3 linked regions of the Callithrix jacchus genome follow. The protein of the gene in region 1 binds, or shares a complex with, the protein of each later gene. Links are inferred from orthologs where the notes say so. Each region holds a gene or a part of one and is shown in the gene's direction. Other genes may lie near its edges. The genes, in order: F2, F2RL2 and THBD.

What was found.
Region 2: the proteins of F2 (region 1) and F2RL2 are in contact, whole or in part, in a crystal structure (PDB 2PUX), measured with the Mus musculus proteins. The link is inferred for Callithrix jacchus from reciprocal best matches to the Homo sapiens genes F2 and F2RL2. Residues at the interface, in NP_034298.1 of Mus musculus: Phe379, Gln384, Glu385, Leu386, Leu420, Arg422, Arg428, Thr429, Arg430, Tyr431, Arg433, Lys437, Ile438, Ser439, Met440, Lys467, Pro470; in NP_034300.3 of Mus musculus: Thr46, Phe47, Glu48, Glu49, Phe50, Pro51, Asp54, Ile55, Glu56.
Region 3: the proteins of F2 (region 1) and THBD are in contact, whole or in part, in a crystal structure (PDB 1DX5), measured with the Homo sapiens proteins. The link is inferred for Callithrix jacchus from reciprocal best matches to the Homo sapiens genes F2 and THBD. Residues at the interface, in NP_000497.1 of Homo sapiens: Phe382, Ser385, Pro386, Gln387, Leu423, Arg425, Thr432, Arg433, Tyr434, Arg436, Asn437, Glu439, Lys440, Ile441, Met443, Lys470; in NP_000352.1 of Homo sapiens: Ser424, Cys425, Glu426, Cys427, Tyr431, Ile432, Leu433, Asp434, Asp435, Thr440, Asp441, Ile442, Asp443, Glu446, Asn447, Gly449, Phe450, Asp479.

The regions. Positions count from the first base shown.
Region 1 is NC_133511.1:111,764,600-111,774,997, forward strand, and holds the start of F2 (prothrombin), read left to right. Parts: upstream 1-4,461; 5' UTR 4,462-4,488; coding exon 4,489-4,567; intron 4,568-4,946; coding exon 4,947-5,110; intron 5,111-5,773; coding exon 5,774-5,798; intron 5,799-6,041; coding exon 6,042-6,092; intron 6,093-8,134; coding exon 8,135-8,240; intron 8,241-8,336; coding exon 8,337-8,473; intron 8,474-10,398. UniProt on the Homo sapiens protein: Thrombin, which cleaves bonds after Arg and Lys, converts fibrinogen to fibrin and activates factors V, VII, VIII, XIII, and, in complex with thrombomodulin, protein C. Functions in blood homeostasis, inflammation and wound healing.
Region 2 is NC_133503.1:134,425,341-134,434,172, forward strand, and holds the end of F2RL2 (proteinase-activated receptor 3), read left to right. Parts: intron 1-3,094; coding exon 3,095-4,158; 3' UTR 4,159-6,194; downstream 6,195-8,832. UniProt on the Homo sapiens protein: Receptor for activated thrombin coupled to G proteins that stimulate phosphoinositide hydrolysis.
Region 3 is NC_133506.1:30,076,560-30,086,696, reverse strand, and holds THBD (thrombomodulin), read left to right. Parts: upstream 1-4,434; 5' UTR 4,435-4,600; coding exon 4,601-6,316; 3' UTR 6,317-8,093; downstream 8,094-10,137. UniProt on the Homo sapiens protein: Endothelial cell receptor that plays a critical role in regulating several physiological processes including hemostasis, coagulation, fibrinolysis, inflammation, and angiogenesis.

The DNA.
Region 1 (10,398 bases):
ACTCCACCATTGTTCCACCCAAGCTTCACCGTAACATTGTTTGCTCTTGCTTCCATTTTAGCAGATTTCATCTTGCTCTGATAGAGGCTTACTTCAAACTGATGCCTTATCTTTGTTAGTGCCTCAAACTACATCCTGTTCACTCATGTCGTAGCAAGATAGTATGAGTTTATTATGGTTCAAAAAATGTTAATCCACGCAGTTTTTTTCATAATACATATTTTCCATGAACTGTTTGAAGACCCCTTGCAGATGTCTATTGTTTAAATCACCCAGTTTACCGTACATTTTTTTCCCTTGGATCACTAATTTCTTTCACAGAACATTTTTTTTTTTGAGACGGAGTTTCGCTCTTGTTACCCAGGCTGGAGTGCAATGGCGGGATCTCGGCTCACTGCAACCTCCGCCTCCTGGGTTCAGGCAATTCTCCTGCCTCAGCCTCCTGAGAACATTTTTTTTTTTTTTTTTTTTTTTTTTTTTAGGTAAAGCCTTGCTCTATCACCCAGGCTGGAAGGCAGTGGTGCAATCTCAGCTTACTGCAACCTCACCTCTTTGGTTCAAGCAATTTTCCTGCCTCAGCCTCCTGATAGCTGGGATTACAGGTGCATGCCACCATGCCCAATTAATTTTTGCATTTTTAGTAGAGACATGGTTTCACCATGTTGGACAGGCTGGTCTCAAGGTCTCAAACCAATGACTTCGTGATTAACTTGCCTTGGCCTCCCAAAGTGCTGGGATAACAGATGTGGCCTACAGTAAATTTTATAGCAGCCCATGCTAAGATAGCCATGTATGGGCATAAGAATGTCATATACTCAGCAGGCCTACAACTGTGAGTAAAAGTCTGCAAAGAGGCCACGAGCAGTGGCTCATGCCTATGATCCCAGCACTTTGGGAGGCCATGGCGGATGGATCACCTGAGGTCAGGGGTTCAAGATCAGCCTGGCCAACATGGTGAAACTCCATCTCTACTAAAAATACAAAAAATAGCTGGGCGTGGTGATGGGGTGAGCCACTGCACTCCAGCCTGGGCAACAGAGTGAGACTCCATCTCAAAAAAAAAAAATAAGTCTGCAGAAAGGCCAGTGTTATCTCAAACTTATTTAATTTTTTCAACAATACCTTTGTGAGGTGAATGATGTTATAATCCTGATGTTACAGATGGTGATACCAAGCACGGGACTCCTAAACCAGTGCTCTCTCTCTCTCTCTTTTTTTTTTTTTTTAACAGAGCCTCACTCTGTAGCCCAGGCTGCAGTGCAGTGACTCAATTTCAGCTCACTGCACCCTTTGCCTCCTGGGGTCAAGCAATTCTCATGCCTCAGCTTCCCGAATAGCTAGAATTATAGGTGGCCTAGGCCTCAGCCTCCCGAGTAGCTGGGATTATAGGTGACCCAGGTGGGCAGATCATGAGGTCAGGAGTTTGAGACCAGCCTGGCCAACATGGTGAAACCCCATCGTTACTAAAAATACAAAAATTAAGGTCCAGGCGCGGTGGCTCACGCCTGTAATCCCAGCACTTTGGGAGGCCGAGGCGGGTGGATCATGAGGTCAAGAGATCGACACCATCCTGGTCAACATGGTGAAACCCCGTCTCTACTGAAAATACAAAAAATTAGCTGGGCATGGTGGTGCGTGCCTGTAATCCCAGCTACTCAGGAGGCTGAGGCAGGAGAATTGCCTGAACCCAGGAGGCGGAGGTTGCAGTGAGCTGACATCGCACCATTGTACTCCAGCCTGGGTAACAAGAGCGAAACTCCGTCTCAAAAAAAACAAAAAAAAAACAACAAAAATTAGCCAGGCGTGGTGGTCCATGCCTATAACCCCTACTCAGGGGCTGAAGCAAGAGACTCGCTTGAATCCAGGAGGTGGAGGTTTCAGTGAGCCGAGATGGCACCACTGCACTCCAGCCTGGGCAATAGCGTGAGACTCCATCTCAAACAAACAAACAAACATACACTTATATTATGACCCAGAAAATCCACTCCTAGGCATATACCCAACAGAAATAAGTGCTTATTTACCCCTGAAGATTTGTACAAGAATATTCATAGAAGCACTCTTCACAATAACCCCAAACTGAAAACATATCCAAACCCCCATCAACAGGTGAACAGCACATAAAATGTGCTATGTTCATTCAGTGACAGACCACAAAGCATTAGAAGAAAGGAACTCCTGACACCGACAGCATGCACGAATCTTAGAAACATGTTGAGCAGGCCAGGCACGGTGCCTCATGCCTGTAATTCCAGCACTTTGGGAGGCCAAGGTGGGTGGATCACCTGAGGTCAGGAGTTTGAGACCAGCCTGGTCAATGTGGCAAAACCCTGTCTCTACGAAAAATACAAAAATAATCCCAGCTAGTTGGGAGGCTGAGGCAGGAGAATTACTTGAACAAGCAAGATGAAAGTTGCAGTGAGCCGAGATTCTTCCACTGTACTTGAGCCTGGGCGAGAGAGCGAGACTCTATGTCAAAAAAAAAAAAAAAAGAATCGGGTCGGGCACAGTGGCTCACGCCTATAATCCCAGCACTTTGAGAGGCTGAGGTGGGTGGATCACGAGGTCAAGAGATCGAGACCATCCTGGTCAACAAGGGGAAACCCCGTCTCTACTAAAAACACAAAAATTAGCTGTGCATGGTGGCGCGTGCCTGTAATCCCAGCTACTCGGGAGCCTGAGGCAGGAGAATTGCTTGAACTCAGGAGGTGGAGGTTGCGGTGAGCCGAGATCATGCCGTTGCACTCCAGTCTGGGTAACAACAGCGAAACTCCATCTCAAAAAAAAGAATCACGGTCTCACTCCATTACCCAGGCTAGAGTGCAGTAGTGCAATCATAGCTCGCTGCAGCTTGGAACTCCCAGGCTTAAATGATCCTCCTGCCTCGGACATCAGGCGTGCATCACCATTCCCAGCTAATTTTTCAGTTTTTTTTTTGGTAGAGATGAGAGTCTCGCTATGTTGCCCAGGCTGTTCTCAAACTCCTGGCCTCAAGCAATCCTGCCATGTTGGCCTCCCCAAGTGTTGGGATTACAGGTGTGAGCCACTGTGCCTGGCCTAAAAAAAATATTAAGAAATGGGCCTCCCAGGAATTAAGGTCTTTGTGGGAGTCCTGGTCTCTAGTTTTCTGCCAGCGCTCCCTCTTCCCACACCGTGCATGACCTGGTCCAGACCCCCAACAGCCAGGCCCAAAGGGCAGGTGAGGCGAGAACTTGTGCCTCCTGGTGTTCCTGCTCTTTGTCCCTCTGTCCTACTTAGACCCAGGACTAATATTTGCCTTTTGTACAGCAAACAGGGAATGGAGGAGGGACAGGAGTAGCGCTGAGCGGAGGAGGGCAGGGTAGGACCAGAAGCCTCGCTAGGCCTAGTCTGGGGCAGGCAGGCAGGGAGAGGGAGGGCCCTGTAGTGGAGACCCAGATTTGGACTAGCTCCTGTTCCGGGACAGGTGCAGGTCTTGGGAAGTGACAGAGGATAGACCAAAGGCCCAAGAATCCCTGGACCTGACTCCTCCTCCCAGGCAGCTGCCACACACAAACACACTCCATCCAGGTGCCCTGGATGGGAAAGAGGAAAATAGGCCCCTCCTCCAGTGGCTGAGAGGCTGGGGCACTGTCCCTGGTGCATCCTAGGTCCAGAAGTAAGTTCCATCAGGCCACACCTTTTATCTTTGTCTCTATTTTTGATATCTGTGTATTGTAATTACACAAACCTCCACATTGGCTTATATGCACAGACCTACTGATTACTAAGAGGTTATGATATTCCATGGGTTTTTCATTCCTAATCTCCTTTAGTCCTCGCAACAAAGTATTATTCCCGGCCAGGTGTGGTGGCTCACACCTGTAATCCCAGCACTTTGGGAGGCCAAGGTGGGTGGATCACCTGAGGTCAGGAGTTCAAGACCAGCCTGACCAACATGGAGAAACCCCATCTCTACTAAAAATACAAAATAGGCCGGGTGTTGTGGCACATGCCTGCAATCCCAGCTACTTGGGAGGCTGAGTTAGGAGAATCACTTGAACCTGGGAGGTGAAGGTTGTGGTGAGCTGAGATTATGCCACTGCACTCCAGCCTGGGCAACAAGAGAGAAAATCTGTCTCAAAAAATAAAAAGGTATTATTCCATTGTATAGATGAGGAAACTGAGGCACGCAGAGATTAAAATCAACCACCACTGTATGTTAGGATTGGAAGGAGCTCCAGGAATGTCTCAAAGCTCAACTGGTCAGAGTTGGCTTGAGACTCAGAGAGGGAGGGTGGGAGATGATGTGTGACATTTTTTTGTGACTCTCCTGACCATCCATCCCTGGTCCCAGGAGGATCTGTCCTCTCGGATGGTGGGGGTGGACAGGAGGACTATCTACCAACTTGTCCCCATGGCCCTGACCCTCTGATCTCACCCTCTCCACTGATTTCTTCATGTTAGTTCAACATTAACCCAGAGGGGTCAGGATGGACAATCACTCAGTGACCCAGGAGCCGCCGCACTATGGCGCACGTCCGAGGCCTGCAGCTGCCTGGCTGCCTGGCCCTGGCTGCCCTGTGTAGCCTTGTGCACAGCCAGCATGGTAAGGGGGTGCTTGCAGGCTGGGACAGACTGGAGGATTGGGGTGTGGGCCCATGGGCTGGGGTCTCCTGACTGGACAGAGCACACAGCGCTGGTCCCAAGGTAGGTCTCAGCCCCAGGCGGCCACCGGAAGGAAGAAGTCGGGAGTTCAGGGCCTGAGAATGGCTGCTTCTCTCTTCCAATATGGGGAGTAGGTTGGGGGCAAGGGGCAGTGTAGGAGGGCACAGGGGGCCACAGTTAGCAGCCTTCCAGATACTTCCACCAGCCCAGACAGCCCCTCTCAGAAGCCAGCATGGCAGGGCAGGCTTCTTGCCTCTACAATGGCCAAGACAGCCTGCTCCTGAGGCCGCTGTTCCATGACACCCCCCGCCCCCCTGCAGTGTTCCTGGCCCCTCAGCAAGCGCTGTCGCTGCTCCCGCGGGCCCGGCGAGCCAACAGCGGCTTCCTGGAGGAGATGCGTCAGGGCAACCTGGAGCGAGAGTGCATAGAGGAAATTTGCAGCTACGAGGAGGCCTTCGAGGCTCTGGAGTCACGCACAGACACGGTGAGCCTGGGCTGCTCGGACGGGCCCGGGGCCTCAGAGCGGGCCCAACTCTAGACACTTCCACAGAGAGGCGAGCAAGGAACGCCAGAGCCCCTTTGCTGCTCACTGCCTCATTTCAACTCTAAGTCCCTCTTCCCGGGGCTGGCAAGAGGAGCAGCCTCAGCTTTTCTTGGGGGTCCGTGTGCCTGTACTGTGTCAAGGTTCCGGGGTCCTGTGCAGCCCCATGACATGAGGGAGTCCTCCTCAGTCTTCAGACATCCATCTACCCTGGCCCGGGTCCACGTGGCCTCCTCAGCGGCAGCTTCCTGTGCCACCATTGAGGGGTGGGACTCTGGGGAGGCCACCACGAGCCCCAGACTCAAGACTCAGTGCTCCTGGAACCCTGTGTCGCCTTCCCTGCCTGTAGGGCTCTGCCAGGGTCCTGCAGTCCCCTTTCCTCCCCTCTCCCCCAGCACTGTTCAGTTTCGGTGTGTGTGCTGGAGGAACTCCCCTATCCTCAAATATTCTTCTTCCTTTGGAAACAAAAGTAGGAAGCTCTGCCACAAACCTCCCAGAGCCTGTCCGCTGCGTGACTAGGGTAAAGCAAAGTATCAGGAGGAGACATAATGTTTACTAAAACAAACAGGAGCCGCTGTAGCCTCACTCCCAGCCCTTGTTTTTCAGGATGTATTCTGGACCAAGTATAAAGGTGAGCACTGGGAAGGATTTGCCCCAGGAAGGGAGGCCTGGGGACCCCGGTGAGATAATTCCACCCAGAGAATCTTCCGCTGCACCCAGCCAGCCACCCATCCCCCCATTCCCCACTCCTTCCTTCCTCCCTCCCTTCTGTCCCTCCATCTCTCTGTTTCTCCACATCATCTCATCCACCCTTGAATCCAGCCCATCCCAGCCATACCCTAGTCCCAAAGGTAAACACCTGGGTCTTTTCCAGCTTGTGAGTTGGTGAGGACGCCTCGAGAGAAGCTCGTTGCATGTCTGGAAGGTGAGCAATTGACATGGGGTTGAGGGGCAGGACACGGAGGGGAGCCTGGGAGCAGAGGAGCTCACGGGTGGGCTTGGAGTGTGGCCGGCGGAGTCTGAGGCCATCTCCAGCATCTGACATCACTCTCATTCCTGGGTTCAACATGTTGGAGGAACAAATGAATGAATGGATTAATGAATTCACGTTTAAGGCTTCATTCTCCTTTGCCTGACCCGAGTCTCTGCACCTGCCTAGTCAGAGCTCTGATGATGTCACATCCCCTTCTAGCTTTAGGTGTCATTGCACCAAACAGGGACCCAAGCCCCCAGCTTCTCTGACACCAGGGACTTCCCTGCGTGCACCATGGTGTTTCTAGCACCTGGCCCTTGCATATGTTGTCAGTTTCCTCTGAAGCAACCATCACCACCTACACTGAACATTTTCCTATCCATCAAGAACTGCTTCAAATGTCATCACATTTGCTGAGACCCCAGGGAGCACCCTCCCTCCTGTACCGTCTTCTGAATGCACCTTTAGCACAACAGGTTCTGTGACTTGTAGCTCTTTATTATTTATTTATTTATTTTTCAGAGACAGAGTCTCCCTGTGTTGCCCAGGCTGGTCTTGAACTCCTGGGCTCAGGTGATTCTCCCATCTCGACCTCTCAAAGTGGTAGGATTACAGGTGTGAGCCACCGCATCCAGCTGCTGTACTTTCATTTGTCAAATTACATACTCAACTGACATTTTACAAAGTTCCCGCTACGTGCCAGGCTCTGTATCAGGTGCTGGGGATTTTAAGAGAATCAAATACCATTTCTGCCTTCAAGGAATTCAAAATCTCAAAAGAGAACAAAAAATATAAAACGTTCAAGTGATTGCGGCTGGGCACAGGGGCTCAAGCCTCTAATCCCAGCACTTTGGGAGGCCAAGGTGGGTGGATCGCTTGAGACCAGGAGTTTGAGAAGAGCCTGGCCAACATGGTGAAACCCCGCCTCTACTAAAAATACAAAAATTAGCCGGGGTGTGGTGGCATGCACCTGTAATCCCAGCTCCTGGAAAGGCTGAGAGGGGAGAATCACTTGAACCCTGGAGGCAGAGGTTACAGTGAGCCGAGATCACGCCACTGCACTCCAGCCTGAGCAACAAAGCAGGACTCCATCTCTAAAAAAATAAATAAAAATGAAAACACAGGCTGCATGCGGTGGCTCACACCTGTAATCCCAGCACTTTGGGAGGCCGAGATGGGCGGATCATGAGGTCAGGAGTTTGAGACCAGCCTGGGCAACATGATGAAACCCCGTCTCTATTAAAATACAAAAAATTAGCAGGGGGTGGTGACACACGCTTGTAATCCCAGCTACTTAGAAGGCTGAGGTGGGAGAATTGCTTGAACCCAGGAGGCAGAGGTTGCAGTAAGCCAAGATTGTGCCACTGAGTTCCAGCCTGAGTGACAGAGCAAGACTCCGTCTCTAAAACAACAACAAATAAATAAATACATAAACAAATAAAGTGATTGCAACAAAAGTTCTGTTCAAGGCACCGAGAGAACACAGGAAAATGAGTGTCTGGTTTGCCAGAAGAATGAGAGACAGCTTCCCAGGAGAGGCAGAGTTCTGCCTGGCCTGGGGGGATGCCCAGATGAACAAACAAGAGGGCATTCCGGGCAGAAAAAGCCCGTGGAAAGACCCAGAGGCACGAGGAGCCAAGCTAGCAGGGACAGGTAGACCGGGGCCAGATGAAAAGGACCTTGGTCACTTTTTCATCCCGCTGGCCAAGAGAAGCCACTGAATGGAAGTTCCCTGAGGGCAGGGCTGTAACTGTCCTATTTGTCGTGCTGAGCACCCAACAGTGCCTGTCACATGGTGAGCACTCAGCAAATACTTGGAGGCCACTGTTGAGTGAATGGGAGAACTGCAGGATGGAGAGGAAGAGGAGCTGGGTGAATGCAGGTTAAGGATTGTGGACCACTGTGAGCTTGGAGGCAGGGACAGACACAACTTTGCTGGGAGAGAGGAAATAAGTCCCCAGGCTCCAAGGCTGACCGGGGTGGGGTCCCCACAGGTAACTGTGCGGAGGGTCTGGGTACGAACTACCGAGGGCATGTGAACGTCACCGCATCAGGCATCGAGTGCCAGCTATGGAGGAGTCGCTACCCACATAAGCCTGAGTGAGTGATGAGCCGGCCTTCCCACCAAGGGCTGAGAACAGGGAGCAGGGACACCCCGTGGGCCATAGCCTCCTACTGGGAAATTTCCTGTTCCAGAATCAACACCACCACCCATCCCGAGACCGACCTGCAGGAGAATTTCTGCCGCAACCCTGACAGCAGCACCATGGGACCTTGGTGCTACACAACCGACCCCACCGTGCGGAGGGAGGAATGCAGCATCCCTGTCTGTGGTGAGCTGGGGGCAATGAGGCAGCCCACAGCCAAGGCCCGGGGGCTTCCTGGGGCCTGGCAGCCTGGGATGGCAACCAAGATGCCTGGCTACCTGGGTGCAGTGGCTCATGCCTGTAATCCTAACACTTTGGGAGACTGAGGTTGGCAGATCACCTGAGGTCAGGAGTTCGAGACCAGCTTGGCCAACATGACAAAACCCTATCTCTACTAAAAATACAAAACTAGCCAGGTGTGGTGGTAGGCACCTGTAATCCCAGCTACTCAGGAGGCTGAGGCAGGAGAATCACTTGAACCTGGAAGGCAGAGGTTGCAGTGAGCTGAGATCATGCCACTGCACTTAAGTCTGAGCAACAAGAATGAAACTCCTTAAAAAAAAAAAAAGATGCCAGCTACCTTCAGAGCTGGCCTCAGTCATTCATATCATATCTATGTCTATTGCACAGTGAAGTCAGGGAATCAGAGATCTGCCAGCTTCCTTCTTCCCCTCCCCACTCTTGACTTCCTGATGGTCCAGGCCGTGGCTCATTCCAAACATGCCTCCTTTCTGATCAAGGCACTCCTCCCTCCAAGAAGCCCTCCCTAGCCACTTCAGTCCACATGCTCTGTTCTGAGTATCACAGAGCAAGCCTCGTGCCCTGAGAGTTGGCGGGCGTGGTGCTGCTGATCTCAGCTGCACTCGCTGACGAATCCGTAGGGTCAATTCACGGAGGCTGGCCATGGCTGGGTGGCTCTGATTCAAACAATGGTTCCAGCTGAGCCTGGCTCCTCATTGAGGGTTGGGCCTAGATCTGCTCCACGTGTGTTCTTGCTGGGGCTGAGACAAAAAGACAGCAGGTAACTGGGAAGACTTTTCTTAGCTGATGGCAGACACAGAAAACAACAAACAGGAAAGGTCATCTGTTCTGAAGACCTAGGCTCCGAACAGGTACAGTCAGCCCCGCCCGCGTTCCACTGACCAGAAGTCTATGTTCAAGGCCAGAGTCGAGAATTGAACTACACCTCAGCCTGTGAAATCACAGCAACGGATGGGGATGCAGGCAGGGGTAAAGAATTAGTGCTGGTTACCAGTCCACAAACATGCGTTCGTGTTCTTTGTTTTCTAAGCATCCCTGTTGGGCCCATTGCTTGTTCCTGGGGTCAGTTTTTTTTTCTTTTTGAAACAGTCTCACTCTGTCATCCAGGCTGGAGTGCAATGGCACAATCTTGTCTCACTGCAACCTCCCCCTCCTGGGTACAAGCAATTCTCCTGCCTCAGCCTCCCATGTAGCTGGGACTATAGGCACACGCCACCACGCCTGGCTAATTTTTTGTATATTTAGTAGAGAGAGGGTTTCTCCATGTTGGTCAGGCTGGTCTCAAACTCCTGACCTCAGGTGATCCGCCCGTCTTGGGCTCCCAAAGCCAGGAATGAGTCACCGCCTGGCTCCTGCGATTGGATTTATAGCAAGTTCATCCTAACGAAAAAGGCTACCATTTACCCCCCAACTCCCATATGCACACACACACACACACACACACACACTGATGATAAATAAGTTTCAGGCTTGCAGAAATTGACCTACTCTCCAGGTGAACATCTTAGTGATCCCAGCAAGCTTCCTGCTGTGCCCTATAAAAACACAGACTCAGGCCGGGTGCGGTGGCTCACGCCTGTAATCCCAGCACTTTGGGAGGCCGAGGTGGATGGATCACGAGGTCAAGAGATCAAGACCATCCTGGTCAACAAGGTGAAACCCCGTCTCTACTGAAAATACAAAAATTAGCTGGGCATGGTGGCGCACGCCTGTAGTCCCAGCTACTCGGGAGGCTGAGGCAGGAGAATTGCTTGAATCCAGGAGGCAGAGGTTGTGGTGAACCGAGATCGTGCCATTGCACTCCAGTCTGGGTAACAACAGCGAAACTCCGTCTCAAAAAAAACAAAAAA
Region 2 (8,832 bases), on another chromosome or scaffold:
TTGTAAGAAAAACCAGTCTCTAAGGAATAAAGACTTATTTAAGTGGAACCAGATCTGGCATTCTTGTGGAAAATGGAATCATATCCATTTTTACACAAAACGCGGGCACGTTTAGCATGTCTGGAGACATAATGTCTTGCTCAATCTCAGAAATTTTCTGAAAACCAACAAACACACTTGGTTTTAATAGCTTCTTAAAATCAGATCCCGCAGGTGAATAACTTGTACAGCATGCTTTTCAGCCATCAGTCTCCAGCTTTGTGCCTATCTTTAAAGGCACTTCTCTTTGGGCGATGTCAAATGCAAGAACTTTTCTAAAATGCTAAAGTGAGAAGGGTTTGTGTGACTAAACTAAACTCAAGTATCATACAACATACCTTCAAAGATCACCTCTAAATACAGGCACAGAGGAATGCTGCCTCCCACATTTTTCTTTTCTTTTCTTTTTTTTTTTGAGACGGAGTTTCGCTCTTGTTACCCAGACTGGAGTCCAATGGCACGATCTCGGCTCACCGCAACCTCCGCCTCCTGGGTTCAGGCAATTCTCCTGCCTCTGCCTCCTGAGTAGCTGGGATTACAGGCACGCGCCACCATGCCCAGCTAATTTTTGTATTTTTAGTAGAGACGGGGTTTCACCATGTTGACCAGGATGGTCTCGATCTCTTGACCTTGTGATCCACCCACCTCGGCCTCCCAAAGTGCTGGGATTACAGGCATGAGCCACGACGCCCGTCTAATCTATCTTTTCTTAAATGACACCTGATCACCTTCATACTGGAAGTTATCAGGCCACACCTATTGTACACAGTGAATTCAGCTTGTGCAATCTCAGGATTATGCAGGAGGTTTCCATTTCATCCCGGAGCTAACTGCTAGAGATTAAAGCAGGAAGAGAAACTGGCTCTGAATGAAAAACAGGTTACTAAACACTAACTTCAAGTATTCAATGAGGAGGAATTCTGAGGCCTTGGGACAAAACGCAACAGGCACAGTACTGGATATAAATTGAAATATAATATATTTGGCATAAAATATAATATGTCCATATAAATTTGCATAAAAGTCCATCTTAAAGGTAACATCAGAAATCTTAGTCTATTTTCTATACATGTGAAAGATTTACAAATAAATTACATACTAATAAATCTTCAGGTTTGAGCTTCAAGATTTTGTTTTTGAAATTGTAGGAATTAGGATTATTAACATCAACGTGCCAAGTAACACCAAATAATTATAGCAGATAGTTGATGTGTTTCCATCTTTAAAAAAGTTTATTTCCAACTTCTTAGGTCCTCATACCGATTTCATCTTCTGATTTTCCCTCCTTTGTTTCCTCTTCTCTTAAAATCTGTCATTTCCCCTAAAATCCACCTTTGGATTCTTTTTTCTCAGAACTCTCCCTAGGCCATCTCAACCACTCCCACTAAATTAAACTAGTAAACCATGCCTCTAATTTGGGCTCCTGGAATTTTGGACCCACATACAGTCTTCTAACCAGTTGCTGGACATTTCACATACTAATATTCCACAAGCAATTCATCCTCAGTAAGACTAAAAACAGACTGTAGCTTCCCCTCCATCCTGCCCCCTTGTCTCTTCCTCGGACTCAATTAATGGCATCCTCTCCCTCCAAGACATCTAGAGAGAAACCTGAGTCGGTATTGCCTCCTGCCCCTCCCTCACTGTACCCCAAAGCCAATCAGTCACCAAGTCCCTCTGAGCCACCATCAGAGTCTCAGGTGTTTGCTGTTGCCTTTCCATGACCAATGCTCTAGCTCAGCAACTCACTAAGCTATGGATGACAGTAGCCTCCAAATCAGGCCCCCTTGCCTCTAATTTCTTACCTTTTCAATCTATTCTCTATGCTGTCACCTAAGTCATCTTAAAAACAAGTCAAAATCATGGCTATATTAGTTTCCTATTGCTGCTATATCAAATTATCACAAATTGAGTGGCTTAAAACAACAGATTATCTTGTATTTCTGGAGATCAGAGGTCAAAATCAAGACTGTTGGTGGAGTTGTGTTCATTCTGGAGGCTCTAGGAGAGAATCTGCTATCTTGCTTTTTTCAGCTTCTAGAAGCTGCCTGCATTCCTTGGCTTATTACCCTTTCTTCCATCTTCAAAGCCAGCAGCATAGCATCTTCAAATCTCTAACTTAAAGCCTTTACCTTCCCCTTATATGGACTCTTATGATTATATTGGGCCCACCTAGGCGATCCAGGAAAACCTCAATTTAAGATCCTTAATTAAATTACATCTGCAAAGCCCCTTTTGCTAGGTAAAGGAACATACTCGTAGGTTTCAGGAATTAGCAGGTAGAATCTTTGGGGAGTTGTTATGCTGCCTAACACAATGGTCACTCCTGTGTTCAAAATTGTGTGTGCAACCCCAGCATCTATGAACAGGCATGATTTCTTAGGACAGTTTAGAGGCCCTCCATTAATTTAGCTGTCACCCACTCTTTCAATTTCCTTTCTCAGCTGCACCTTATTAGCATGAGACAATGCATTTTTATACATCTTCTCCACTAGTAGAGTTACTTACAGATAGAAATGGAGTTTATTTAAAACTTTACACCACTGACATGTAAGTGTACAATAACAATTTGCTAAATCAACTTATCTGGCATTCCCAGATCCTCTACTAGCCCATACTATGCTGCTGCCCATTCATCATTGGCAGAATCTTACTCATTAAATTTCATCTTTTTATGAAACTTGCTCGTCTTTGCTCAAGTTCATCTTTTCCTTGACATTTTGCTCAAACACCTGAATCTATTAAGTATTGTCTGAATGCCTGTATGGTCAACATGCCTATAATGTTCCAATGTGCTATTTTTGTTTCTTCCAGCAGTATTATAAACGCCTTACACACAATGAGCGATCATTTAGTTTTTGTTTCTGCATGAGATAGTGTTGTCCTGGAGCATATGACATGTATTAAGTATATGCTTGTTGAGTGCCTAATCTATGATTTTTAAAAATAAAAATGATCTTAAATTCTATAATCACAGAAATTACACAGCATGAAACACATTGTTTTCTTTTCTCTTGAATCATAAATATATGTGAATACTTCCTTTCAATTACAGGCATGGAAAATGATACAAACAACTTGGCAAAGCCAATCTTATCTGTTAAGACCTTTCGTGGAGCTCCCCCAGAATCTTTTGAAGAGTTCCCCTCTTCTGCCTTAGAAGGCTGGACAGGACCCACCATTACTGTAAGAATTAAGTGCCCTGAAGAAAGTGCTTCACATCTCCACGTGAAAAATGCTACTATGGGGTACCTCACCAGCTCCTTAAGTACCAAACTGATACCTGCCATCTACCTTCTGGTGTTTGTAGTTGGTGTGCCAGCCAACGCTGTGACCCTGTGGATGCTTGTCTTCAGGACCAGATCCATCTGTACGACCGTATTCTACACCAACCTGGCCATTGCAGATTTTCTTTTTTGTATCACATTGCCCTTTAAGATAGCTTACCATCTTAATGGGAACAACTGGGTATTTGGAGAGGTCCTGTGCCGGGCCACCACGGTCATCTTCTATGGCAACATGTACTGCTCCATTCTGCTCCTTGCCTGCATCAGTATCAGCCGCTATCTGGCCATCGTCCATCCTTTCACCTACCGGGGACTGCCCAAGCACACCTATGCCTTGCTAACATGTGGACTGGTGTGGGCAATAGTTTTCTTATATATGTTGCCATTTTTCATCCTGAAGCAGGAATATTATCTTGTTCAGCCAGACATCACCACCTGCCATGATGTTCACAACACATGTGAGTCCTCGTCTCCCTTCCAACTCTACTACTTCATCTCCTTGGCGTTCTTTGGATTCTTAATTCCATTTGTGGTTATCATCTACTGCTACACAGCCATCATCCGGACACTTAATGCATATGATCATAGATGGCTGTGGTATGTTAAAGTGACTCTCCTCATCCTTGCGATTTTTACCATTTGTTTTGCTCCAAGCAATATTATACTTATTATTCACCATGCCAACTACTACAACAACAATACTGATGGCTTCTATTTTATATATCTCATAGCTTTGTGCCTGGGCAGCCTGAATAGTTGCTTAGATCCATTCCTTTATTTTCTCATGTCAAAAATCAGTAATCACTCCACTGCTTACCTTACGAAATGCTGAAACCATCTTAGAGAAAAAGGACAGCCATCACAGAGAATGTTTGTTTTCACAGACATCTGTTTTCATGGACAACATATGCATAGTGCAAGAAGCTCCATTTCTGAGCTCCTAAGAAATATGCTTCAAAGGTCAAACATTACAAAAGCATCAGTAAAAAAATTTTCTTTTAGACTGAGTCTCCTCTGTTGCCCAGACTAAGTGCAGTGGTGCTATCTTGGCACATGGCAATCTCTGCCTCCTGGGTCAGCCTCCCAAGTAGCTGGGATTACCGACATACATGCCCAGCTAATTTTTGTATTTTTATTAGAGACAGGGTGTCATCATGTTGGCCAGGCTGCTCTCTAACTCCTGACCTCAAGTGATCGCCTGCCTTGGCCTCCCAAAGTGCTGAGATTAGAGGCGTGAGCCACCACGCCGACCAGCATTAGTCATTTTTAAAAACACTTTATCAGTATTTTAAAAATGTTAATACAGGAGAAAAGATATCACAACTCTTTATGGAAAACGACATTTCCATTTACCTTATTGTAACTTTAAGCTCTTTAAATCTCCATCTTCCCTATTTCTGTGAGTGGTACTGCCATCCTTGAAATATGACATCATTTTTTATTCTTTGGTCTCTTTTGACTCTCATGCTGATGGCTGCCTCATCAACTGGCTCTATCTTTGCAGGGTCCCTCACCATGATCCTTTATCTAGCTCCACCTTTACCTTCTTTTTTCTTTCTTTCTTTTTAAATAGAGACAGGGTCTCACTTTGTTACCTGGCTGAAGTGCAGTGATCATAGCTCTCTTCAGCCTTCAACTCCTGGACTCAAGCAATCCTCCTGCCTCAGCCTCCCAAGTAGCTAGGACTACAGGCATGCACCAACATACCCAATGAATTTTATTTTTTATCTTTTGCAGAGATGGGGTCTCATTGTTTCCCAGGCTGGTCTTGAACTTCTGGTCTCAAGCGATCTTCCCATCTCAGCCTTTCAAAGTGCTGGGACTACAGACATGAGCCACCATGCCCAGCCCACCTCTGCCTTCTAACCATTCTCTCCACTGCCAGCCTACGCTCCATTTCACAGGTCCCGCCAGATTAATCTTCCTTGGATATCAGTACTAAAACACCTCTACTAACTCCACTGCTTCTATAATAAATCATAAATCTTTAGCCTGGCATTCAAGGCTAACTTGCTAATCCAACTTCCCGTTAAATCTTGCTTGTGATGAGTAGGCACCAACCAAACCTCTTGCTCTGCTATTTCTCCATGTTGCCTCAGACTGAAAAGCTAGTCCTGACATCTTTGCCTTAATTCTGTCCATTTCTGAAGTCCTCGAAGAACCATTCTTCCCTGATTCTCAGGCCAGCATTGTCATCTTTCTTATCTGTACTTCCAAAGCACTTTTGCACACTTTTTATTATGGCATCTATATATAGTTCATTTATATTTAAATTTTTTAATTCCATGAACAATCAAACACCATGGATAATGGAGAAGGTGCTCATCCTCTCCCTTCCTTGAACTTCTGGGTGATGCCAGGCCCAAGTCTCTGTGGGGCCCAGCTCTATGCTTTGCGTTCTGTGTGGCCGAATGAATTTAAAAAATCTCAAAGCAGCTAAAAAGCCCATTGACTTCATACTGAAAAAGCAACATACTGTGATGACATGGGATGGTATCATTTCAGGTTGAGTATATAAAAAAGTAAGGAAGCTAAACTAAGACTATACTCACAGGCCATTTAGAAGTTTAAAATAACGCCTCCACTATTTTTTTTTCTTAAGCATAGCTTTTAATGGGGAAATGGAATTTTGTTGTTAAAACCCATTATATTACAGTAAGTAAATGACCATTTTTCCCTTAACTCAGTGATTAGACAGGAGGGAAGATACTAGTGGCGATGAATGAATGGTAGTAGTGAATATAAATGGGGTTGAGGAAACTTTAAGCATAAAGGATTGCTGAGATGAATTTACAAGTCTGTAGGAATCTGCCTTGAGTGTACATTTTGTAATGACCAACAAAACAATAAAAAACAATTTTAAATGCATATTTTTAAATGTGTAGAGTTTTTTATTTCATTGGACTAAGGTAAGAAGGGTCCACATGAAGACCCTTTATGTGTGTGGTTATGCAAAGAGCAAAAATCAGGTAAACACTAAAGTGAGAATGAAAAACAAATCTAAAGTAAGTTTCAAGATGATAAAAACTTCAATGAAAGGAACTGACTTCTGAAAATTAAGTCATCAATTATAATACAGTTTTACCTAGGGAAAAAAACACAGTAGTATTTGTTAAAAGCACACAATTTTTATGGTATATACAAGGAGCAAAACAGAACTTTTTGGTAGGGTATAATCCTTAACATTCACAAGCAAAGCCTTCAATTGTAAAATAGCACACAACCCAGTGAACAGACATAGAAAAAGTGTTCTACTCTGCTAATTTATTCAAGTCTTTTTCTAAGAGGCAAAAGGAATTTGAAGGCTACACAAAGTTATACTTGAAATACTGCTAAAGAGAACCAAAAATCCTCACCAACTTCCATCACTGTCCTCAGTCTTTGATAAAACTGAGCATCCATTCTATGAAGATATTACCCATTGTGACCATTAATAGCTATATGCTTTGCCACAAATTTTACTTATACTGATAGTGTCAGCAATATAATTTTCTCCTCCTATTTTCCAAGGCCAGACCTTGCGAAGGCCAAGGAACAGAAATACCATTATAAACACACAACTGGAAACTTCCAGGATAAAATAGTAGAGGATGCTGAATGTGGTGGCTTGTGCCTATAATTCCAGCTTTTTGAGAGGCTGAGGTGTGAGGATCACTTGAGCCCAGGAGTTTGAGACCAGTCTGGGCAACATAGCAAGATCCCATCTCCAAAAAACCAAAAAAAAAGCAGAGGTTAAAAACAAACATAAAGACACTGCCGAACAATAGAATTAGATTTTTCCAGAGAAAAAGAACAGGCTGAGAAATCAAGAAACAGAGAAAGAAAACTTTGCTTAAAAACAGGAATTTAATCAAATATGATTTATTGCACAGATGTGCAGTGTTTTAAATCTGTTAGCAACTGTCAGTATATTTCAAAACCCCTAATTATATAGGCTAAAAGTGGTATAATGCCTGAACTAGAACCCAGATCCCTAGGCTCCATATTAATGTTCTCATCATACCATGCAAGCTATACCTTCTACACCTAGAAAGGGTGCCTGACACAGAGCTGGCATGGTGTGGGCACTCAAAGGCTTCTTTCAAAGGACTCCTGTGGAGTTCCATCTCAATCTAGATTGGAATGCCCAGTCTAGAGGAGACCTATACTGCCTGCCTATGGAAAGGCCTTGGGTTTGTGGAGTCAGGCTCACCTCGAAGACAGATCTGTGTCTCTGTTTGTTCTCAGAAGACCCCGACTTTGATGTGTGAACAGAGCAGACCCTATGTCTAGTAAGGACCTTGAGGCCAGGTGCGGTGGCTCACACCTGTAATCCCAGCACTTTGGGAGGCCGAGGCAGGCAGATCACCTGAGGTCAGGAGTTAAGACCAGCCTGGCCAACATGGTGAAACCCTGTCTCTACAAAAATACAAAAATTAGTTGAGCATGATGGCATGTGCCTGTAATCCCTGCTACTCAGGAGGCTGAGACAGGACAATCAGTTGAACCTGGGAGGCAGCGGGTGCAGTGAGCTGAGATGGTGCCATTGCACTCCACCCTGGGCAACTGAGCAAGACTCCATCTCAAAAAAAAAAAAATCCTTGAGATATTGACATCACTCACCTCTTACTTGGGAGGCAGCCATAGGTGCCCATAATAATACTAGCTACATTATTTAACATTATTTAAGTCCTTTTTTTGGTGCCAGGCTCCATGCTAAATGCTATAGCTACACACACATGTGCACATAGTCTTAATTATTAGTACATATAGTTATATATTGATATATACTTACATATTGTATATTTGCATTGAACCCTTACCATAATTCTTTAAGACAGGTACTATTATTCCAATTTTATACGTGGAAAAATAGAGAGATTTGGTGACTTGACCAAGGTTGTATAACTAATCTGTGGCAAAGCCAGGATTTGAATGATGTCTGTCTTCAAAGCAAATAACTTTGTTTTGCTTTTAAGTTTATCATGTGCCATGGTCACAGACACCTAAGTGGAAGCAGCAAGGTAGAAGCCCACTCTCCTCCTCCTGGGGTGTGCGGACACCAGACTTGGGTGAGTCTTCACTCTACCCCTCACTGGCTATACCTTGGCCAGGCATTCGCCCCAAGCCTCAGGCTCATTCACATCAGATGAGACAGCACCCATTCCACAGCTGGTATGAGGCTTAAATGAGAAAGACTGATGTGACTGGGGGCACTTGGCAAAGTTCAGAGGGTCAGGAAATGCCACCACCCTTCTGGTCAGAAGGCTGGCAGTGCAGAGGGCACACCATGGGGGTTACCTTCCTCTACCTTCAGTGAGGCAATGGAGTAGTGAGGACAGGATTTACAATGCTTTTTAAGAGTTTAGCAACAGTAATTATGTAATATATACACTCCTTAAAAAATTTAAAAATCCAAGCAGTACAAAAACAGAGTGAAAAAGAAATCACCCATCTATACTAGCCTTCTAGATCACCTTCCAAAAGGTATCCTCCCTCCAGAAATACTTTAGACACATATAAGAGT
Region 3 (10,137 bases), on another chromosome or scaffold:
TTTCACAATTACTTATTGTTATTAGCGGTAGAAATGCTTGGCTGGAGCAAATTTAATCCAACAGACATTTGGTGAGTCTCTATCATGGTCAACAAAACATACTGGAGGCTGAATACAATCAGACGCCAAATCCAAATTCTAGGAACTTGTTTTCTTTTTTGTTAAAATTTGTTAAGAGTTGACTGTGTCTCCTCCATTCTAAGTGCTTTACATGTATGACCCATTTAGTCTTCATCCTAACACTTTGAAGGAGGGACTATTCCCATTACACAGTTGAGGAAACTGAGGCACAGAGGGGCGGGGTTATTAGTCAAATCTTAAAACAAACAAACAAAAACTTGTGAATGCCAGAGCTGGTTCTCCAAGGCAGCCAAGTTGGCTCCGAAGTCCACCCTTTTAATTAACCCTGAGATTGGAGGACCTCCACCCTTGTCTTTGCAGGTGAATGTGAGAAAATCACCCTGGAGAGGACAAAGAAACATCCACCACAGGTGCTCCGATAAGTCCCGGGCATGGTCTAGTTACAGTGTGCTGTTACGTGTAAGGGGATAGTAAGATGTGTGGGAATCGGGACTCCACGTGCAGCAAACCGTGTGGTAGAAGCATGATTAGGTACAGAGCAAGGAGGGAGTGGTGAGTACTAAGGAATGTCCTGTCTATGGGAAGTCACAGACAGATCAGTTCTGGTTTGCTTAAGCAGAAGCACCTGCTGATGGGAAGCTTGAACTGGGACTTGAGAGAAGGGAAAGATTTCAGTGGGTGAAGATTCGGGCAGAGATGAGAATGCTGATGGCAGAGGAAGAGACACAGGTGGTGGTGAGCGGACATGGTGCTTCTCTGACAGCGAGCAGGAGCCTCTCTTGCCAGGATGTTTCCACATTCATGGAGACCAGTAAGACAAGGGTCCTTGAAGCCTTGTGAGGTGGAAGGGGTGCAGGCTCTGGGTCCAAATCCCAGCACAGCCCCTTGAGTGCAAATTTCCTCATCTGTGGCCACAGAGTAGAGGCACTGTTGCGAGCATCTTCTTCGGTGTGGAGGGGAAAGAGCATGGGATCTCCCGGTAGGCGGGAGCACTCTGAGGGAGTATGAGGATCAGAGTGGCCTCAGCCACAGTGGAGAGAAAAGAAGCAAGGAAAAGAGCTGGGGACCCAACTGTCTCAACACAAATTGAGAAGGCAGGAGCAGTGATCAGGAGAAACAAGACACGAAAACTGGACAGAGGATGAGGAGAGTAGAAAGTCAAACCTCAGTAGACCAACTATCGGAACTGGGAAAGATGGGGTAGGGGTCCCTTTTGGAACACGCTCCCCTCAATCTCCTTGGACACTGCTACCACTGCCAAGGGAATGGGTAAGTTCACCAAAAGGTGGGTTGTAGCGATAGATGATGAAGACCACCAGCAGAACCTTGAGAACAGCTGCTCCAGTGGGTGGGGCAAGAGGATGCCAGGGGCCTCCGCAAGCTCATAGGACAGGAGGGGAGGAAAATACGTGTCTCAAAAGTGATTGGAAGAGGAGCCTTGAGAATGGTGAAGGGTCACAAGTGCAAATGGCACCAAGGTTTCTTGAAGGATGGCCGAAAACAAGATTTCGGCCACAGTATTTAGGACCTGATGGTGTCCTTCAAGGAAGCTGTTTCAGGAGTAAAACAAGTCTTTGCTGGTGACCCACAGTGAGGGTGCTGAGCCGGGAACTGGGTTAAGGAGTGGGAAGTGAAAGTGTCATCTGCAAAGAGATAGGAGGGAGCGGCACGCCCGGGTGTGCAGGTGGCACAGATAGGAAGATAGGGGTGGGGCAAGAACAGAGACAGGGGACCTTCATTCACCACAAGGTGGTTTAAAATGTGAAAAACCTCCAAGGTACTGTCTGAAGAGGAAAAATGAAGCTGCTGAGGGCAGGTCCTGGAAGGCAAAGGTATCCTGAGCACCAGTGGTAAAGCCCTGATGGGTGGGAAAGCCAAATGGGTCATGCCCACTCATCCTTCTACAGGGCAACCCAGACACTGGTACCACCCATGGGGACAGTGCTCTGCTTCCAACTGTTGTTGCTCTAGCTTCTTTCTAATATAGAAACATCCAAAATCTGCACCTCCTCATATAGGTTGATCCAAGGTTCACAGACATCACTGAGTTCTCAGTGGACTCAGTCACTGGGGCTGTTCTCACACTTTCCTTTTCTTTTCTTTTTTCTTTGCAAGAATCAGTAATGGGTGCAGGCAGACCCGCACAGATCGTCCAGTGAAACATGGTGGTGGTACATCAGCTAGAATCCCATCCAAGAATGCAAACATCCTGGTATGTGGGGTGAGACCTGACCCTTTAATGTCCCTCAGTCCCTTTCAGGGCTGGCAGGCTCAGAAGGGACCTGCTGATCACCCCCCAGGGCCCCATGTCTTGTTTAATGCTTTGCTGTCACAGTCTTGAAATCCTTGTAATTGAACAAAGGACCCTACATTTTCACTTTGCACTGGTCTCTGATTCCATAACGGATCCTGTCCCCTCTTTTGTCTCATCCACTCCGTGAATCGTCCCCACATTCAGACCCTTCAGCAGTGTCCCCAAGAGGTTCCTGCCCCTGTCTGAAGCTTCACCCTCAACCCCATGGCGGCACCCCAGGCAGCCCTGCTTCTGGGTCCCGCGTCGGCAGGCTGTACACCGGAGTCACGACCATTGATTCAGCCGAGACAGCCACCGACTGCCTGCTCCCGCCGGGGACAGCTCTGCTGTCCTGTCTGCTGCCCTTCCCTTCTACTTCCCAGGGGTCCGGGTCAGGTGAGGTGCAGCTGTGCGCATTCCGGGAGCTTCAGACCCCTGTGTGTCCAGCAGCTCCTCCGTTTCCGGAAGGCTCTGCCCCAAGGCGCTGGAGGGTGTGGGGTGGGACAGCCCTTTCGCTTTCGGAGTGTCCACGCTCCACCCACTTGGTCACGGCGGGTCAGTCCAGTCCAGCCCGGCCCACCCCCCCGGTGCGTGTCTTTCGCACGTGCAGGCTCCATACTCTCTGTTCTCGTTTAATGTCCGGAATCTACGAGACCCTGGAGGCAAGAGGTAAACGCCGCGGAATCCACAAGGGGCTGCCGGGGTACGGAGCTTCCTACCCCAGGGGGAGGCCTCTGCGCTCCCAGACCTTAACCCTTTTTAGCCCGAAACTTCTCCAACTTCCTTGGCTTTGTTTAGAGCTCGACAGCGCCGCCGCCTGGCGCTCGTTGTGAGGACGGTGGAGGAGAGACGCAAGGGTGTCTTTGAACCTTTTGCCTCTCACTGTTATGGGGGCGACCGGAGGAGGTGGCCCACTCCTCCGCATTCCCAGTCAGGGAACTACCGGACGAGGTCGAAAGCCACAGGTTCCTATCTCCTCCTCCAGCCCTCCTCACCGCGCCCATCCACGGGACCGTGTCTCCTCAGTGCCCTTTGCCAAGCAAGTGGCATTTCTGTGCATCTCGGTATCAATGCGGCCGCTGGACCAAATGGAAACTTTCTTTGCTGACATGAGTGGGACCCGCGGGAAGCCCGCAGCGCCTCCCCGAGGGGCTGCCAGCCACCCTGTTGGGGTGCGAGATGCGCCGTCCCTCGGAAGCTGGACGGAAACCGGCCCGGCTGCTTCGCTCCCACGCGCCCGCTCTTACCCCGCGCCGCAGCAATTCACCTGCCACGGCCTCTGAGCGAGGTCAGGACCTCAGGAGCCGTGATAGTGTCCCCGCGCCTTCCTCACGTGACGAGATGGGGTTGCCCAGGGACTCGCGGGTCCCCCTGGCCAACCATGGGGCAGAGGGCGCTGCTGTCAGGCCAGTCTTCCCCGCCCTGTCCCGTCACCCCAGCCACACCCACTGTCCTCTGAGGCCAAGCGCTCCGCCGGTTCCCTGAGCCAGGCACCCTGGCAGGGGACGGGATCCAGCTGTCTCTCCTTGCGAGCCTGTCTTTGGGGAAGTCCACGTCCTAGACAGTCCCTCCCAAAGTCCCCTTCGTGCGGGTCACCCCTCCCAGTGTCCTGCAGGTTTCGTGCACCATCTCCCCCACGCCCCATTCCAAGCCCTCTTCGCTGACGTCTCCGATTCCCAGAGCTCTGCAATGCGGGCTTTCCTTGGATGTGACGGCAACATATATGAAAAGAAAGGAAGGAAGTCCAAGAGATGAAGGAGGGCTGCACGCGTGGGGGCCAGCGTGGTGGGGGCGGGGACAGTCGTCTGGCTACAGGGGTGCTGGCCTTTCCTGGCGCCTGCCCCTGTCGGCCCCGCCCGAGAACCTCCCTGCTCCAGAGCCGGGTTTACTCATCCCGGCGAGGTGATCCCATGCGCGAGGGCGGGCTCAGGGCGGCCGGAGAACCCAGCAATCCGAGTATGCGGCCTCAGCCCTTCCCACCAGGCACTTCCTTCCTTTTCCCGAACGTCCAGGGAGGGAGGGCCGCGCACTTATAAACTCGAGCCCCGGCCGATCCGAATGTCAGAGGCTGTCTAGCAGGGGCTGCGCGCCGCGGCCAGAAGGGTCTGGACTGAGACGGTCAGGAGAGGCTGTCACCAGCGGCGTCCTGCGCCCCTCTGCTCCGGCCCGGCCCGGTCTCAGTGCCTGCGCTTTTCACAGCGCCTGCACTCGGCGCGTCTGGGTAACATGCTCGGGGCCATCCTCCTTGGCGTGCTGGCTCTGGCCGGCCTGGGGCTCCCCGCACCCGCAGAGCCACAGCCCGGTGGCAGCCAGTGCGTCGAACACGATTGCTTCGCGCTCTACCCGGGCCCCACGACCTTCCTCGCTGCCAGCCAGATCTGCGTTAGACTGCAGGGCCACCTAATGACAGTGCGCTCCTCAGTGGCTGCCGATGTCATTTCCTTGCTATTGAGTGGTGACGGCGAGGTTGGCCCGCGCCTCTGGATCGGCCTGCAGCTGCCACCAGGCTGCGGCGACCCCAACAGCCTCGGGCCCCTGCGCGGCTTCCAGTGGGTTACGGGAGACAACCACACCAGCTACAGCAGGTGGGCGGAGCTCTACCTCAATGGGGCTCCCCTCTGCGGCCCGTTGTGCGTCTCGGTCTCTGCTGCTGGGGCCCCTGTCCCCGGCGAGCCGGTCTGGGAGGAGCAGCCGTGTGATGTGAAGGCCGATGGCTTCCTCTGCGAGTTCCACTTCCCAGCCACCTGCAGGCCCCTGGTGGTGGAGCCCGGCGCCGCGGCTGCAGCCGTCCGGATCACCTATGGCACCCCTTTCGCGGCCCGCGGAGCGGACTTTCAGGCGCTGCCGGTGGGCAGCTCCGCCTCGGTGGCGCCCCTAGGCTTGGAGCTGGAGTGCGCCGCACCGCCTGGGGAGGTCCAGGGACACTGGACTAGGGATGCGCCCGGCGCTTGGGACTGCAGCGTGGAGAACGGCGGCTGCGAGCACGCGTGCAATGCGAGCGCTGGGGCTCCCCGCTGCCTCTGCCCAGTCGGCGCCGCCCTGCAGGCAGACGGGCGCTCCTGCACCGCACCCGCGAAGCAGTCCTGCGAAGACCTCTGCGAGCACTTCTGCGTTCGAAACCCGGACAAGCCGGGCTCCTATTCGTGCATGTGCGAGACCGGCTACCAGCTGGCAGACGACCTGCACCGGTGCGTGGACGTGGATGACTGCATGCTGGAGTCCAATCTGTGCCCGCAGCGCTGTGTCAACACTCAGGGTGGCTTCGAATGCCACTGCTACCCTGGCTACGACCTGGTGGACGGCGAGTGCGTGGAGCCCGTGGACCCGTGCTTTGGAACCAACTGCGAGTACCAGTGCCAGCCCTTAGGCCAAACTAGCTACCGCTGCATCTGCGCCGAAGGCTTCGCGCCGGTGCCCCAGCAGCCGCACAGGTGCCAGATGTTTTGCAACCAGACTGCCTGTCCAGCCGACTGCGACCCCAACACCAAGTCTAACTGTGAGTGTCCTGAAGGCTACATCCTGGACGAAGGTTTCATGTGCACCGACATCGACGAGTGCGAGAACGGCGGCTTCTGCTCCGGGGAATGCCGCAACCTCCTGGGTACCTACGAGTGCATCTGCGGGACCGACTCGGCCCTTACTGTCCAGATTGGCACCGACTGTGACACCGACAAGGTGGACGGAGGCGACGGCGGCTCTGGAGAGCCTCCGGTCAGCCCGACGCCGGGCTCCACCTCCAATCCCCCGGCCGCCGGGCGCGTGCATTCGGGCGTGCTCATAGGCATCTCTATTGCCAGCCTGTCCCTGGTGGTGGCGCTTTTGGCCCTCCTACGCCACCAGCGCAAGAAGCAGGGCGCCACCAGGGCCAAGATGGAGTACAAGTGCGCGGCCCCCTCCAAGGAGGTAGTGCTGCAGCACGTGCGGACCGAGCAGACGCCTTAGGGACTCTGAGCGACCTCCGTCCAGGAGCCCGGCTTTGGCGTGGGCTTTCTCTCGCTCCTGTGCCTCCTCGCCCTCAGCTGTACTCCACCGCTACCCAGAGCACCCTAGCTGGATTACAGCTGGAGAAGGCCCGCCCCGCCCCCACCAAGCTGTGTTCTCTGATTCCATGCCTAAACGGGGAGAGGCCGATTAGAAGGAGGAGAATGAGCCTCAGCCTCTTCCATGACGTCACTGGACCACTGGGCAGACATGACGATTTTACGACGAAGGCAAAGAAGTGTCGCAGCTCCTCACCACTGGGCGCAGGAGGGTGAGCGTTATTGCCTGGCGGCCCTTTGGGCAGACCTTGACCTCGTGGGCTAGGGATGAGCAAAATATTTATTTTTTAAAAGTATTTAGGCTTCTGTTTGTTTCCTTTTTTCCTACCTGTATGTCTCCGGTATCCACTTTGCATACCTCTCCCATCTCGCTCTACAAACTCCCACTTCTCATGTGGCAGATAAACTATCTTAGTGAATTCTTTTTCCTGGCCCTCTCACATTTATGAAGCAAGCTCCATTTCTTCGCCATTCTTCCTAGTTTCCTCCTCTCAGGAACTGGGCCGGCTCACCTGAGTCGCCCTGCCTGACCTGTGCCTGACCCTATTTCTTTTGCCCTTACCTGCCTGCTCAGACAGAAACTCCTACATGAACAGAAACAAAAACACTCAAAATAACAATGGCCCTTTGCTTTTTCACCAGATTTGCTAATTTATCCTGAAATTTCAGGTTCTCAGCGCAAAATAATTTTAAGCAAAGGTTGAGATGTAAAATGCATTGAATTAATGTTGCTGGACTGTCATAGAAATTACACCCAAAGATATTTTTATCTTTATTTTTTTAAACAGTGAGCCTGAACTTTGTGGTTGCTTTGATTTGTACTGAAAATGGTAATTGTTGCTAATTTTCTTATGCAGTTTCTTTTTTTGTTATTATTACTTTGACAGTGTTGAAAATGTTCAGAAGGTTGCTCTGGATTGAGAGGAGAGACAGGCACCTTCCAGCAGCCAGTTTAAGAAAGTTTTGAGCTTCATGATTCATGCCAGTTGGTAATTGTCTCTCACTGTCCTTGTCATTGGTAGACCTAAATAAAACCAGCTCTACTGGTCTTTTGGAAGGGACCTTGGGAATAGATCCTGGAGGATGCCCAATCAGGGCTCAGCCTTAATCAGGTCCTCAGAAAATTTCTACCATTTCAGAGGGGCCTTTTGGAATGTGGCCCCTGAACAAGAATTGGAGGCTGCCATGGGAGCTGGTTAGAGATGCAGAATCCTAGGCCCCACCCCATCTAGTTCATGAGAATCTATATTTAACAAGATCAGCAGGGGATGAGTCTGCTCAGTAATTTGAGGTCAATGGTTCCAGTCTGCTTCCAGTTTTCTGGAATACATTAAATAGGGATCAGTTATAACTAGCAGGCCAAGTCAGGCCCTTATTTTCAAGAAACTGAGGAATTTTTATTGTGTAGCTTTGTTCTCTGGTAGAAAAGACTAGGTACACAGCTCTAGACACTGCCACACAGGATCTGCAAGGTCTTAAGCCAGGAGTGAAAACCTGCTTCAGTGGATGGAAACAAATGTATCATAGAAATGTATCTTTTGTAAGACAAAGATTTTCATCTTCTATTTTGTAGACTCAACATATTTGTACATAGTTATTTATTTGTTGGAGATAAACTAGAACACAGGCAAAGCCCTTGCTTATGATGTCACTTGTACAAAATAAACAAATACAGTGTACTCTTGGGTTGTGTGTCTGTTCAGTTTTCCTCCCCCAGTCCCCTCAGTTTAAACCATGCAAATGCTGTGAGACACGTGAATTCTTTTTCCCTGCACCCCAGCGCTCCTGTTGTCTGAGGATGGCACCCTCTCTGATTTTCAAAGCTCTTTCCAGAGGCTACTACTACTTTCACTGATCTCCGTATGCACAAATATTTATTTATTTCCTTCCGTAACCATAACAACTTCATATATGAGGACTTGTTTTCTGTGCTTTTTAGTACATTACAGGATCATTTGTTGGAATGAATTAAATAAACCCTTCCTGGGGCATCTGGCGAATCCCAGCTGTGTGTCCTGTGTATGGTTTGGCATTATCTGCTCTGTGAGATATCCAAATTCAATGCAGTCATGAAGGATGTCGACTGGTGGCTCTAATTCAAGTATTCATTTCTAAAGGAATGAAATCATTCCCAGCTCTGTTGGAGATGAAAAACAGTGCCTTTTCACAGCATACATTTCTTGGGCTCACTTTCCTAGGATGGTAGGGCTGGCTGAATGCAATATGCAGGGCTCGGAAAGAGTTTTTAAAGAAAAAATTAAGAGAAAGTAAAGCCCAGGCAAACATTCAAGTGCTTTATATGTCTGGATAAAGCCAAATTTGTGAGTTTCTGTTTGAGTGGTTATTGTGAAAACAGGGTTGGAGATTTTGACATCCATCACAGATGCAGTGATGACGTGAGTGTGTGTGTGTGTGTGTGTGTGTGTGTGTGTGTGTGTGTGTGCTGGGGCAGCTGCCATGCACAGTGCCCTATGGAGATAGCAAGCTGAGCCAAGCTCCCCCTAAGGAGTAGACGGTCTTTGTGAAGGAAGAGTTACACAAGCGGGGACAGGACAGTTGCTGGGAGAACAGAGGAGACAGTGACACCTTACAATTTGCTCCCAGCCTTCTATTTTTCAAGAGGGTCAGCTCCCAGTCACTGTCACATTGACTTGCAAGGGCTCACAGCGTTAGGATTTCTTCTTATTCCAGAAGAGGGGCCTTTTCTTAAGGGACACTGGAAGACCAAAACCCAGAGGCAAAAACCCTTCATGTCCTGAGAGCAAAAACCTAGGACATTAGTTGTTTGGGGCCCTGAGCTTCCCTGTCCGCCTCACTTCCTGCTGCCTGAGCTATCAGTGGTTCTGTTTACAATCTCCTCTGAACTTGGGATTCTCAAAATAGCTAAATAGCCACAGTGCCTCTCAGAGAAAGACACCAGGACCGCATACACACTTCACATCAGTTAGCTTTAAAAACTATCCACCCGCATGTACAGTCAGTGTAGACTTTATGAAACCAGAGCCAGGGGATCCACCTGTGCAGTCTCTGCTTTCCGTTCACATCATCGGACATACAGGTCTGAGGGAGACTCCCAGAGACCAGTTGCTGTGGCATTTCACAGCACAAGAGGCCAGGGCAAGAAAGCTAAGGTACATTTCTGGATAAGCTGGGATTCAAGTTTTTTTTTTTTTTTTTAATGTTTTCTAGTCTTTGGTTATAAAGTAAACAAAATTCAAATTTTAAGTCCAATGACTTGTTATGTTTTTCCAGTTCTCACCTCTTTTCTCGGATTGGTTCAGCAGTTGTTTACCGAGCACTTACTCTGTGCCTTTCACGGTGATGGGCACAATGAGAAGCCCCTGCCATATAAGACAGACTGTGGCACGGGAGAAAGATGAAACAACCGATCACCCCCAAACTGCACTTCACTTAGAAACAGTGATAAGTGCAGGGGAAGAAAGGCACAGCATACTCTGAAACAGCCCAAGAGGGAGACAGGATTTAGAGTGAACGACCGGAGGGTGCTTCCTGGACAAGATGACACTTAATACCAGTCCTGAGGGGGAAGGACTGGTTTGCCAAATGCAGACTGGAGAGGGAGCAGTCCAGGCCGGAAGGGCTGCACGTGAGAAGGCGCTGCACCGGGAAGAACCCTGGCTAAGCGCACTGGGCATACTGAACTAGGTATTGCTGGCTGCAAGGGAGGCTGAGAGGTGGAAAGATACAAGCAGCAGGAGAGGA